3 linked regions of the Macaca mulatta genome follow. Each later gene encodes a partner of the first gene's protein in a complex. Links are inferred from orthologs where the notes say so. Each region holds a gene or a part of one and is shown in the gene's direction. Other genes may lie near its edges. The genes, in order: SPTLC1, SPTSSA and ORMDL3.

Region 1 (3,727 bases):
GGGCTGAGATTACAGTCATGAGCCACCACACCTGGCTGAAAGCAATTTTTTAATACTCTGAGAATATATGACCTTAAAAAAAAAAAAAGATACTTCATGTATGTGTTTAACATGGTCAGAATTTACACAGGAAATGGGTTTTGAAAGTGTATTGCTTAGTTTCTACATTAGTAAAGAACTAACCTAGGAGGTTCCCTCACATTCCACATCCTCAAGATTCCATGATTCAGACCTGTAGGCTGCTTTATTGAGAGATCTAGCATGATGTATTATATTTAAGGGAAGGAGATGCTAATTAATAATGTTCCAAGGGTGATTGGAAGGCCAGGTCAGATGAGTTTCCAGAATTCACATTATTGTAACATGCAGTAGTCATTCTGTAAAGGTTTGTCGAGTCCTAAACTGGGAAGATTCAGTTGTGCTACCTAGTGCTTTTTGTTGTTATTTCATTCTGAGGGAAAAACAAATCATTTTAGGTGAAACAAACTAAATGAAAGGATCTAAAATGTTTAGCCCAGTTTCAAATAGACATGTATCACATTTGTGTCCTAGGAGGTAGGTCAAAACTCAAATAATATTTGTTATCATAGGATAAAATAGACTTTAAGTGAACCTGACTGGATATTAATAATGTGGCATAGCATCTCCTGACAGCTATAATACAAATACAGGATTTAATTTAATTTAATTTAAAAATACAGGATTTGGCCCCTAAAGATCTGTCTTTGAGAAGCTACAGATTTTTGTGCTGTTAATCCTAAGTGAAAACAAAATAATTTTAATCCAAGTAAAATCTAAAACATAACATGCAAATAAGGACATTTTTCTATCTAAACATATTGCTATTAGTCAAAATATAATGTATGTTTGGTTTTTGTTGGGGTTTTTTTTTTTTTTTTTTTTTTTGAGACAGGGTTTTACTCTGTCACCCAAGCTGGAGTATAATGGCACAATCTCAGCTCACTGCAACCTTGACCTCCTGAGTTCAAGCGATCCTCCCACCTGAGCTTCCCAAGTAGCTGGGACTACAGGTGCAAGCCACTACACCTGGCCCATTTTTGTATTTTCGTTTTTGTTTTGTTTGTAGAGATGGGGCATAATGTTGTTAATGTTAGAAATCATCCCTGTAATTAATGAGAAACAAAATAAAAACTAAAGACATAGATAATAAGGAAGCATAACATAAACTGTAGTGAGTAGCTTGTGAAGGATCCAGACAGGATGAAAAATAGCAAATGATGGAGCAGAGCCTTCCCTAAAGTGGGTGATGAAGAAGGCCCCAGCAGCAGGCAGTGCTGGAGCTGGGCCCCAGCATGTGCAGCCAGCACAGGGAAGAACAAACATCAGGGGCGAGGGAGCCCATGGCAAGGGAATGACAGACCAAGCTGGGGCCCAGAGGGCCTATAAGGAGGGGCGCCCAGGCGGGAGTACGGTGCACAGACTCCCTGTTGGGAGGCTGGGGCCATGAGACCCAGTCCTGCACTCAGGAAGCCACATCACAGGCAAACTTTTTTAGAGGAGGAAGCACCGCCAGGGTGCCTCGCTTCGCTTTCTTTGTTGGAATTGGAATAATGCTTCCCGTCAGTCGCAAGCTTCTGTACATTCACTGTGCCTTGACATTGTGGACTTCTAACATTATTTCTCCGTGAGTGATCTTGGAGCCTGGAAGGAACTTATGGCTGTGTGTGTGTTTCCTTTCTTCAGGATTTCTGGATTAAAAGTGGTGGGGGAGTCCCTTTCTCCAGCCTTTCACCTGCAACTGGAAGAGAGCACTGGGTCTCGCGAGCAAGATGTCAGACTGCTTCAGGAAATTGTAGATCAAGTAAGTATCCATTTACTTGAGGAAATCCCCCCACACCACTTCTGCCCTTGCCCCAAGCAATTTTTTAATGTTATTTTTTAAGAAAAGTCTGTTGACCTGAGAGAAGAGAGTAGAAAGGAAGATGCTGGTGACCCACTCTGGACATGGAATCTTAATCCTCCAGGTCCTTCCTAGCTTCTGGCCATGGTAACGGGCAGCAGGCCCTCCCATTGGGTCAGTATGTGGCTCCCTCCAAAGTTATTCTGTTTTGTACCACTTTGCATTTAAATATACTTGGCCTCTCCTCTGAAAAATTAGCCTTGCAGAAAACTCACTTGCTCACCGTTTTACAAAGCCAGGCTTTCCTATGTGTAGTTGGGGGAGGCATTGTGTGTGGGCATCGCACACATTCCTGGACTGCTGACTGTCCCCACAGCACAGCTCAGGGACAGTCCACTCGCAGTCACCCTGAAGTTAGGATGCTCTTGTATCTTCCAAAAGTTATTTCACTACTAATTGTCTAAGAAACACATCACCAGGGAAACCACTTGCCCATTTTCATCTGGCAGCACTGCCCCTCCAGAGTGCTTCCTGCCCTGGGCACACGGGTTTACAGTGGTGCAGGGACAACAGAAGTTTCTTTAAAAGGGGGAGGAAGAACAGCGGAGTAACCTAAGCAGGAAGGACTCAGGAGGGGCAGTGGAATGCCACCCACCCTGCTCCCCTCTTCCAAGTCCTGGGATGCTGGACATCTGCTTTCAGAAGGATCTGGACTTTTATGTGGGCTGCTGCTGCTGCTGCTTTTAGAAAAGTCTGACATATACCTAGTATGTATTTGAGAATGCAAATGGGCATGATTCTGCTTCCCTGTCCAGAGGCTGTAGCTATGAGCGATGCTACCAGGTTTCTGGGGTCATAATGGCAGTTACCACCTATCATGTGCCTTTCTGAGGCCAGGCCCTGTCCTAAGCCTCATCTGCCTATACAGCTTCTCAGGCAGGCTCTTCTAGGCCACGTGGCTGTGCAGTATACAGACCGGGCGTGCGGGCAGCCTCTGCTGCCTACCTGGCTTCAGCTGTCCTGTGTCCCAAATGTTTGAGCCACATAATCTGGAATAACAGATTTGTGGAGAACTTCATAAAATTTGTGGCCTTCTAGAGTCAGTTACATTAACAAAAACATAAAACAAGCCCCAGGATCTGAGCTTCTAAAGAAACGTGTCAGATTATGAATGATCAGGCTGGAGCTGCTTATCTTGTGAGGTGAGGAAATGCAGCTGCTGTCCCCTCAGGAATACCTCTGTGGACATGAAGACTCTCTCGACAGGGAAAACATCCCACTGCCTGCTTTACTACCTCATTGTTTGTGACGTTCCTTAAATACATACAAACACAAAACTAAGCATGACGTGTTTGTGATTAGAGTTCTCATACAAATGGAAAACCAAAACAAATGTATAAATTAAATACATACTAAATGGACAAGCCAGTAAAATTCCCATTCATTTCGTTACCTTCATGAGGCAGGTGAATTTGTTGTTTTCAATAGACTTGCCCCAGCGGGACAGCTGAGAGCTGTGTTCGCAGAGCAGGCTCATGAGCTGCACACGCCAGTGTTGGGTCTGAGTGATGGCTCCGCCGTTCTCACTGAGTCTCTTCTCGAACTGCATCGGGACAGTTGTCCACACATGCTTCATGATGAGGGACAGTCGCCTCCTTCAGATGCCAGTGTATTCATTGCATAGTAAATCCACCTGTGTTCTCTTTTCATTAGATAGCAACAGCTAAAGTCTTATTACTGCTTTGTACCAAAGAGAGACGCAGAGGAGAACGTGTGAATGAAGCAACTCGGTGTTAAAATACTGTGCTTACAAGGATTAGCCACGTAACGAAAGAGGAAGTGAAAAGTCTGTGGACAGCTCACAGA
Region 2 (4,232 bases), on another chromosome or scaffold:
TATCTTGTTTGCTATCCCCAATGTCTGGCACTTGATATTACTTACTCTTTTCTTTCTTTCTTTTTTTCTCCTTCCTTCCTTCCTGCCTTCCTTCCTTCCTTCCTTCCTTCCTTCTCTTTCTTTCTCTCTCTCTCTCTTTCCTTTCTTTCCTTCCTTTCTTTTGCTCTGTCACCTAAGATGGAGTGCAGTGGTGCCATCCTGGCTCACTGCAACCTCGACCTCCTGTGCTCGAACAATCCTCCCGCCTCAACCTCGTGAGTAGCTGGGACTACAGGTGCAGGCCACTACCCCTGGCTAACTTTTTTTTTTTTTTTGTAGAGATGGAGTTTCACCATGTTGCTCAGGCTGGTCTCGACCTCCTGTACTCAAGAGATCCGCCAGCCTCAGCCTCCCAAAGTGCTTGGATTACAGTCATGAGCCACTGCGCTTGGCCGGCACTTGATACTTTTAAATAAATAGTTATTAACCGTGAAACTTTTAAAGTTTAAGCAATAGGCTGTTTAACCTGGAAGACTTTTAACATTTAAACAGCAGACCATTTAATTGTGGCATTTCACATGCTACACCAGTGTATGGAGCTCCTGGTGGCCAGTGCAATGTTGCTGACCCATTTGGCAGTGGGAAAATCCGGGCATCCAGGAGTGCATTTCTAGGAGGTATCTCCAGCCCTCACACCAATCTCAAACTGCCTGTCATCTGCAGAACCCACTAGATCAGCGCGCTTCTGGCCTTGACCCACTTGGTGGTTAACTACAGCCACTAAGAGGTGGGCAGATAGATACTTTTGGTAAGTGGTCTTTGGGTTAGGGAGTGCATGGGTTATGCCTGTCTAGATGGGTGTGTTTTTGTGTGTGTGCATGGGCGGGGGAAGGGAGGAAGGAGGCCGAATGTGCATCCCTTCTACAGGGACGCCTTTCCAGACCTCCTTATTAGATGGCGTTCACCTCCTCACCCTCTCTCAGTCCCTTATTCTCCTCTTACACCGATCACGACTTGATTAATGCCTGTCTCCCAGCTAGGCCGCCAGCTGCACGAGGTAAGGAACCGAAGGCATTTCGGTTCTCCCTGGCAATCCCCCTCCTCAGAAGGATGCCTGAGGCATAACAAGTGTTCCAGAAATATTTATTCCGCAACCGCTCTGGGCCAGTCTGGATGGACCCGGCGCCCGCTGGGCTGGGGGCCCCCGGCCGGCACTGACGCCCCGCCCACCACCGGCCGGCCCAGGCGGGGCGGGGCGCGGCCGGGCGCTCTCGCGGGGACCGTTCTCCGGCTCGCGTGGGCGATGCCCGGGCAGGGAAGCGGGAGGGGACGACGGGACGCGAGGTAGCGGCCTGGCCAATGAGCGCGGGTCGGGCGGGGCTCGGGGACGGCGGCCTGGGCGCGCGCCGGGCTGGGCGTGCCGCGGGTGACGGCGGGGCCGGGCGGGCCAATGGGCGCTGGGTGGCGGGCGGGCGGGCCTGGCTGCCGGGGGCTTTAGGACGTGAGCGGGCGGCCGGCCGGACAGACTTACGTGTGAGCTGCATCGCGGGAGGCGCATGGCGGGGATGGCGCTGGCGCGGGCCTGGAAGCAGATGTCCTGGTTCTACTACCAGTACCTGCTGGTCACGGCGCTCTACATGCTGGAGCCCTGGGAGCGGACGGTGTTCAGTATCCTGTCCGGGTCGCGGGCGCGGGGGCCGTGTTGGGGGCGCGGGCCGCGGGGCCGCAGCTCCCAGGCCCGGGGCCTGGGGTGGAGGTTGGAGCGGCGGCCCCGCGGGTCCTGTGCGCGGAAGCCGAGGAGTCGGGGGGCAGGGGGAGGTCTGGGGGCCTAGGGCCGGGCTTGCGGGGTTAAGTGGGAGGTGGGGGAGGCGAGAACTCTTGAGATCCGGAGTCACCCGTGAGTCGCTGGACCCAAGGAGGAAGCGTCTTGATTCCTGGAGAAAATCTCCGAGGGTGATGTGTAACCCAGTGTGTCGCCTGCACTTCGGCCGCGCCTGCCTTTGGTTCAGTCCCCTGTTCCTGTAGGAGGCGGGGATCATGTAACAGTGGAGTACATCGCTCCCGGCTTGGACGCCGTTGACCTTTAAGTGTTCCTGATGTAGTTGGCTTTGGGTCTACCAAGAATTCTAACCAGTTAACCAGCTTTTAAGCCAGATTCTGAATTTGTAGGCATGACACTCCAGTAGTTTTTGACAGCAGTTTAAGTTATTGTATCTTTTTGGTCTTCAAGGTGGGGAGTTTTAAAAGTATATTGCTTCTTTGCACCGTCCGTAGAAGTCGGCCTGAAAAGTGGTGCAATTTGCGGTTAGTTGTCGGTAGGGTTTGAAACTGTTGTGGTGGATAGTTAGTAAATTATTAATGACTGTTGAGTGGTTACTATAAGCAAAGCATTTGTGCAAAGCACATTTTCTGTATCTTAACTCATCTAACTTTGAGAACTTCAATTAATAACTCAGGATTGTGAAGATAGGCTCCCTGAAAGTCTGATGTTTCTTGTCTCTACTTGTCCATATTGACATCCTTTGATGATATTCTTGCAGATTGAATACTGATAATGAATGAGATGCAACTTTTTACAAACTCAGGCCAATACGAAACAGATATTTCGCAAAACATGTTTAGTTTATCCACGTTCTCTCCTTTTCAGTGTGGTTTAGTTGGAGTAGCTTACTTCAGAACAACTTTGCGAATGCATTGTTGCATTCCAGTGAGTGACTGAGGTAATTTCATTCCAAGCCTTATCAAGTGTGTTTGTTTTGAAATAGCTTAAGGTTGTACTCAAAGCTGAGTCTTTTGTTTCAGCACTTTTGAAGAATTTGAGATGCTTTCAAAGCAGTTTATTTATTAGGAATTTAAGAACCAGAATGCATATTTTGGATTTAGACACTGAAGATAGTTTGCTTTGATTTCCTGCACCATTTATTTGTAGCTGCACTTTAGTCTCACTCTTTAGGGCTCACAGGGCCATGCCTTGTAAAATACATACTTAAATGTATATTTAATAGAAGTCTCTCTGTAGAAGCAAGCGTATCTTGACTCACATAACACATCCTAAAATTAAACAATGCTGGGTTACATTGAAGCTCTTTAAATCAGAGATTGAATGTAGAGTGCACTATTAGAATATAGTATAGATTTTACACCTAAAAGCTTTTACACCTAAAATCTAATATAGATTTTACACACTAAAATGCTACAGTTATCAATGATGTTAAGATTTTTCTGTTATGTTGCAATAGTGATAGTATCCTATAAAGAACTAGGTGATGGCTTTTTTGGGGTATGGAGAAATAAATTATGAAATGAAATTCAGTGCCTTAGTAGATATTTGCCTTTAATGGTTTTGAGTTACCATTGGTTTAGCAACCAAGTAGTTTCAAATTTTTTTTTCAAATAGGTGACACCTGCAACCAACTGACATCCAGTATTATAGAACCTTATGATTTTAAACTTGAGATTAAAAAAAGTCTTATTTCAAATTTCATGTTATTGGGGTTAGAAATGCAATTATTTGACATAAGCCAGTCTTGAATTACTATCAGCTGTTATATTTATATTTTTCCACTTCAACTTCTAGAATCATTTAAAACTATCTGGTAGTTTGGAACATCAATTTGAGATTGAATCCTCGTTTTAGCTTGACGGAAGAACTGAATAAGAAAGCTGGATTTTTTTTCCCCCAACTTGTCAGGAGGCTTACTGTCAAGTACTTTGAATTTCATAAATCCATTAACGATTAGTAAGCTTCACCCAGAACTATTTGTGGCCAGCTACATGATGTTAAAGGAAAGAGGCATACTTTCTACAGCTTAAACATTACATTCAACTTAATCATCAATCCTAGAAACCTAAAATTTAGAGAAATTTGCCTCTGCCGGTCTGAAAATTGGTGTCTGTCTGAGTTAGAAGTCCTGAACAGAGTAAGACTTTAGATTGATTTCTTCTCTCTCTCTCTCTCTCTCTCTCTCTCTCTCTCTCTCTCTCTCTCTCTCTCTGTCTGTCTCTCTGTGTGTGTGTGTGTGTGTGTGTGTGATGGAGTTTTGCTCTTGTTGCCCAGGCTGGAGTGCAATGGCACGATCTCAGCGCACTGCAACCTCCGCCTCCCAGGTTCAAGTGATTCTCCTGCCTCAGCCTTCAGAATAGCCAGGATTACAGGTGCCTGCCGCCACGCCCGGCTAATTTTTGTATTTTTAGTAGAGATGGGGTTTCACCACATTGGCCAGGCTGGTCTTGAACTCCTAACCTCAGGTGAT
Region 3 (4,487 bases), on another chromosome or scaffold:
AGACCCAGAGGGCTCGATTAACTTGATGGAGGATGAAGAATCCCAGAGAAAAATCAAAGGAGTCAAGCAGGCTCACTTCGGAAAAAACAGGCACCTTTCTTGCCTTAATGCGGGGGAGGTTTCTGTGAAAAGAACAACACTGGGTTTGCTTATGTCTGCAGAAAGATGCCTATAAGGAAAGGCACCTCCACAAACCAGGAGAAACTTCCATAGGACACAGGCAGAGCTATTTCAGACTCGGGTGATTATTTCGATCTTGGGATGAGCCCTTTTGGGGCCATTGGCCCTGGAAATATTCAAGAAGCTGCCTGTTCTGCTCTGGGTGGTTCAAATACCCACCTGCCTGGTGACCACCAAGTGTCTCTGGGGGTCCCACTCCAGCTGTGTGACAACTGTTTCCTGGCAGCTCCCTGGGGAAGGAAGGGTAGGTGGAGTCCGAGTGAAGTGCTCCCCAGTTTCCCTGGGCTAGCCTTTTCCTTCATGTTCCCTCACTTTCAGTTCAGGGTGCCATGAACTGCCATTCAGAGTCAGGTTGGCATGCCATGACATCATCTGATCTTGATATTCCAGCCCTGCCCTGCACAGAGTGGACTTAGAAAGAAGCTGGGTAGGGAGTTGAAACTACTCAGACAAGGCCTCTTGGTGACATGGAGAATGGGAGTCACCGAGGAGACCTCAAGAGCAACCTCCTAAAGTAATATTAAGTAGATTCATACAATGCAACAGGTGCTTTACATACATTTTTTTGGGTTCCCACAACATTGGAGGTGGGGTTTCACAGGTGTGGAATTGGAGATTAAGACAAGTAATTTGCCCAAGGTCACATTGCCAATAAAGGAGGGCCTGCCCTATGTCTACCAGGCAGTAAAGTCTGTGCCCTTGCCTTTAGACGATGCAGATGTGAAAACTGTAGACCAGAACCTCTCATTCAAAGCCACAAAAGCTGACCTGAGACAGAAACTCAGGCTCCTTACTACTGATCAAGGAATCTATGATACGTGGCTTCTTCTCACGTCAGGTGCAGGGAGGCCAAGGAAGTGGCCCGGTCCGCGGCAGCCTGGGCCAAGAGTGACTGAGAAGGAGAAGGCAGGCTCCGTTCTGGGCCCTCCAGACCCTCACCCCAGCCAATGTTGTGAAAAACTCGCTCCCAGGAGGGCCCAGCAGGGCAAAGGGCCAGGCTAGTCTGTTTCTGGAGGAGCCAATCTGGGGCCGGGGCGGAGGCAGCCAGGTGCAGTGGAAAAACCCTGTACTTGGGGTCAGAATATCTGGGTTTCGATCCAGTCTGGGACCCAGCAAAGACCTACAGCAAGTTACTTACAAGTCCGAGTCTCCTCATCTGCAAAACTGGGGCACAGATAAAATACACTTGAAGGGCACAGGAGCAAAAGTTGGAATTGTTACGCACCAAAATTCTATCATCCGATCTGACCACGTCACGGTGCAACTTCCAACAGCGCGTCCCCGGAGAGTCCGGGAACGGAGCCCAGGAAAAACTACAACTCCCAGGAGCGTCGGGCGGGCCGGCCAGGAACCAGCAGAGGAAACTACAACTCCCAGGAGGCGTCGGGCGTGCCGGCGCGGGGCGGTGACGTCGCGGGGGCCGGCGCGGAGCGCTGATTCGGCCGGAGCTGCCAGCGGGGAGGCTGCCGCCGCGGGTTGTTACAGCTGCTGGAGCAGCAGCGGACCCCGCTCCCGGGAACCGTTCCCGGGCCCTCGATATCCGGCCCCGCACGGTGAGCCCAGACGGAACCAGGAGGCCCCAGGGCTAGGGGAGGGGCGGGAGGGAAGGTAGGAGCTGCTGGGGAGGCGCCCCGGGCTGGATAGACGGGGGCAGAGGGAGTGGGGGGTGGAGGGAGTGCATCAGCCGAGGGGGTGCTGCGGCTGGGGAGGTGGCCAAGGAATAAAGTGCGAGCTGGAGGCTGGGGGTGGAACGTCGGGAGGAGCGCCTCGGCTAGGGGTGGGAGGCGGGGAGCGGCTGGGCTTCTGGGATAAACGTTTGGCTGCTTCCAGGGCTGGGTGAACGCGTGGAGATGGCTGTGGGGTCCCGGACCTGGCCGGGTTCCGAGTGCCAGGACCCAGACTGGGCAACAGAGCGGGACCCCTCCCCCCGGCCCCGCGCCCGAGGTCTCACTCAGAAAACCCCAACAACAGTGAGGACTCCGCCTCTTCGCTCCTCCTCTCCTCTGCTTACTGCGGGTTCGCCTGGGCACTCGCTTTCCGCTCCCACCGCCCTCCCCCAGTCGGGGTGGCTGGGCCAAAGTTGAGATGTGATCAGCTGTGGTCCTGCAGCTTGGGGGGTGGGCGGAATGGAAGTGGCATCGTGACGTGCTCCCGCGGACTCCCCTTTGGGGTCCCCATCCAGGCCCGGATGTTTTGTGCTCCTCTTCCAAGACAGGGGGTTTGCTGTTGTGAGGGCTGCTCTTTCCTGGGGGAGGGAATGGGAAGGGCTCACCTGGTGGCTGCCCTGGTGGTGCTCAGCCTTGGCTTGAGTGTCTGGCATACTGGCTGGGCCCGAATATTTGTGCGTGGAGCCAAGCGGGTGGGGAGGGAAGAAGGGGGAAAGAGCTACCAGCAAAAAAGTGGTTAACAGAACAGAGTTGCTGCAGGCTCTGGTTTGAGGCAGGTTATGAAACCACATCAGGGCCCGGCACTAAGCAGCCACCTGCCAGCTGTGGCAGCAGAAGTTTTTAGCTCAGCTCCTGTAGACCTAGTCGACCTGTGCCAGCCTCTTCTCTCTGTTTCTCCCCATCTAGGGGAGGGGTCGGTTGGTTGGTTTACTAATGGAAGTGATATGTGCCCGTAGTCACACGAAAGTCTCAAGAGTGTTTCCTGGCTGCCAGTCTTTTTGTTAGTTTATTGATCTCTTCTTTTTCAGGGGTGTCTGGTGGTTTCCTGCTCTCAGGGTACCTAGTGTTTAGGCTTCAGGAAGAAGCTTTCGGGGGTGTCGGCTGGGACCTAGGTCTAGTCTTTTCCTAGGCTCATCGAGTTTTGTTGGCTGCCCTGTGAAAGCCAGAAAGGGGTATGGGGTCCTGTGGTCTGGGATTCCACGAGGCTTTTGGCACTCTTGGACAACTACTAGGAAGGGTTAGTGGGCTTTCTACACCAGCACCTCTGTAGGTGCGGGTTACAGAGAGGTGATGGGGTGGCGGTTTCAGGTCAGACTTGGGACGCTGTTTCCCTCTCCTTAGAGGTAAGTCCTTCAGAGCCCTCACTTCTCAGCCACATGCCACCCTCTCGTCTCAGGTGGAGGCTTTTGCGTAGTAGCTGTCCCAGGGGCTGCTAGAGTAGCTGAAGCCCCAAGGCCCTGGGAAGATAAACAGTGGGAGCCAGCTCTGGCTTTCTAGATGCTAGGATTTCTGTTAGGCTCCATTATCCAGCCTCATGGGCTGCACTGATGGGTCCCAGGAGCATCACTGCAATCAGAGTGCGCCCCAGGCTGGCGCACAGGTGTTTGCTTGTTGGGATGGTGTGTTGTGGGTCACGTTTGCCCTGAGGTCTCTAAGCTTGGAGCTGTCTGAGAAGAGGAAACTTGCTCCTCTTATCCTGGAAGTAAAGAACTGGCCCCTGAGGATTCAGGCTCCTGTGCAGGTTTGGCTAGTTCCTAGTCAGAAGTAGATAGCATGTGGGTCTGAGGGGGTTGCTGCAGGGGCGTGAGGCAGGTGGCCTTCCGGGTACTTCTAGAATATCTCTATCTGGGAGTCTTCTCTGCATTCCCAGGAAAGATGGGGCTGTTAACATGGTGATGATCTTATGGTCTTTAGCAAGCAGGACCCTACCTCAGATAGGGAGGTGAGCCAGTACACAGGTGCCGTCCGTCTCCGCTTTCTCCTGGTCACAGGGCCCTCAGGGATCTGGGGACAGCCAAGCTCTGGACAAGGGGCAGATCATTCCACCCCTTCCTTCTCTACTTCCCTCTGCTCACTGTGGGTTGCGGCCACCTCCTGGCTCCTCCTGCTGCAGGACTCCCACCGTTGGTGCTGGGCAGGGGAAGGCATGGTGCTAATGTACACCTGGAAACAGGTGCTGAGAGGGGAGGCTGAGGTGAGGATGGGCAGGACAGAGAAGAACGGGGCCAGGAGGAAGACCACAGGTTCGAGTCTGTGCCCTTGGGAGACATATGTTGATGTGGGTTCCAGCGCTCTGTGGGAGTTATAGGTGTTGGCCACATTCTCTATCCTCGCCTCTCTTGTGGGGAAAAGGACCCTGGTGGTTTGGCAGCGGAGTGGGTGGCAGCACAAGGGTTGGCCTGAGTGGCTGCCAAATGGAGAAGACATCCAGATGGGTTATTTTGTGTCACCCAGGAGGGGTGCCTTCCAGGTCCGGGCAAAGGTTGTCGCTAGTCTGTTGTTTTCTTCTATCTTCCTCCCTCCCCACTTCCCTCTTTGTACCTGATCAGTCCTCCTAAGTTGGGGTTTGGGGAGATCCAGAATTGAAAAAATTAGAGGAGGTGAGTGGATGCAGTGACCTCAAAATAGTTCGTCCACTGC

What was found.
Region 2: SPTLC1 (region 1) and SPTSSA share a complex: the UniProt entries of both Homo sapiens proteins name them as parts of the serine palmitoyltransferase (SPT) complex. The link is inferred for Macaca mulatta from reciprocal best matches to the Homo sapiens genes SPTLC1 and SPTSSA.
Region 3: the proteins of SPTLC1 (region 1) and ORMDL3 are in contact, whole or in part, in a cryo-EM structure (PDB 7K0N), measured with the Homo sapiens proteins. The link is inferred for Macaca mulatta from reciprocal best matches to the Homo sapiens genes SPTLC1 and ORMDL3. Residues at the interface, in NP_006406.1 of Homo sapiens: Ala16, Leu17, Ala20, Pro21, Tyr23, His24, Leu27, Glu28, Leu31, Ile32, Trp34, Ile35, Leu38, Leu39, Ser41, Lys42, Thr43, Tyr44, Lys45, Leu46, Gln47; in NP_001307730.1 of Homo sapiens: Gly92, Val93, Gln94, Phe95, Thr96, Ala97, Lys100, Thr103, Ile104, Ile107, Tyr110, Phe111, Ser114, Tyr119, Gln121, Phe124, Thr128, Leu131, Met132, Leu139, Pro140, His143.

What each region holds. Positions count from the first base shown.
Region 1 is NC_133420.1:122,659,350-122,663,076, reverse strand, and holds part of SPTLC1 (serine palmitoyltransferase 1), read left to right. Parts: intron 1-1,704; coding exon 1,705-1,822; intron 1,823-3,727. UniProt on the Homo sapiens protein: Component of the serine palmitoyltransferase multisubunit enzyme (SPT) that catalyzes the initial and rate-limiting step in sphingolipid biosynthesis by condensing L-serine and activated acyl-CoA (most commonly palmitoyl-CoA) to form long-chain bases.
Region 2 is NC_133412.1:107,570,944-107,575,175, reverse strand, and holds the start of SPTSSA (serine palmitoyltransferase small subunit A), read left to right. Parts: upstream 1-1,387; 5' UTR 1,388-1,535; coding exon 1,536-1,647; intron 1,648-4,232. UniProt on the Homo sapiens protein: Component of the serine palmitoyltransferase multisubunit enzyme (SPT) that catalyzes the initial and rate-limiting step in sphingolipid biosynthesis by condensing L-serine and activated acyl-CoA (most commonly palmitoyl-CoA) to form long-chain bases.
Region 3 is NC_133421.1:64,277,795-64,282,281, reverse strand, and holds the start of ORMDL3 (ORM1-like protein 3), read left to right. Parts: upstream 1-1,606; 5' UTR 1,607-1,733; intron 1,734-1,985; exon of another isoform or gene 1,986-2,149; coding exon of another isoform or gene 2,150-2,150; intron 2,151-2,228; exon of another isoform or gene 2,229-3,588; intron 3,589-3,838; exon of another isoform or gene 3,839-4,041; intron 4,042-4,396; exon of another isoform or gene 4,397-4,447; intron 4,448-4,487. UniProt on the Homo sapiens protein: Plays an essential role in the homeostatic regulation of sphingolipid de novo biosynthesis by modulating the activity of the serine palmitoyltransferase (SPT) in response to ceramide levels.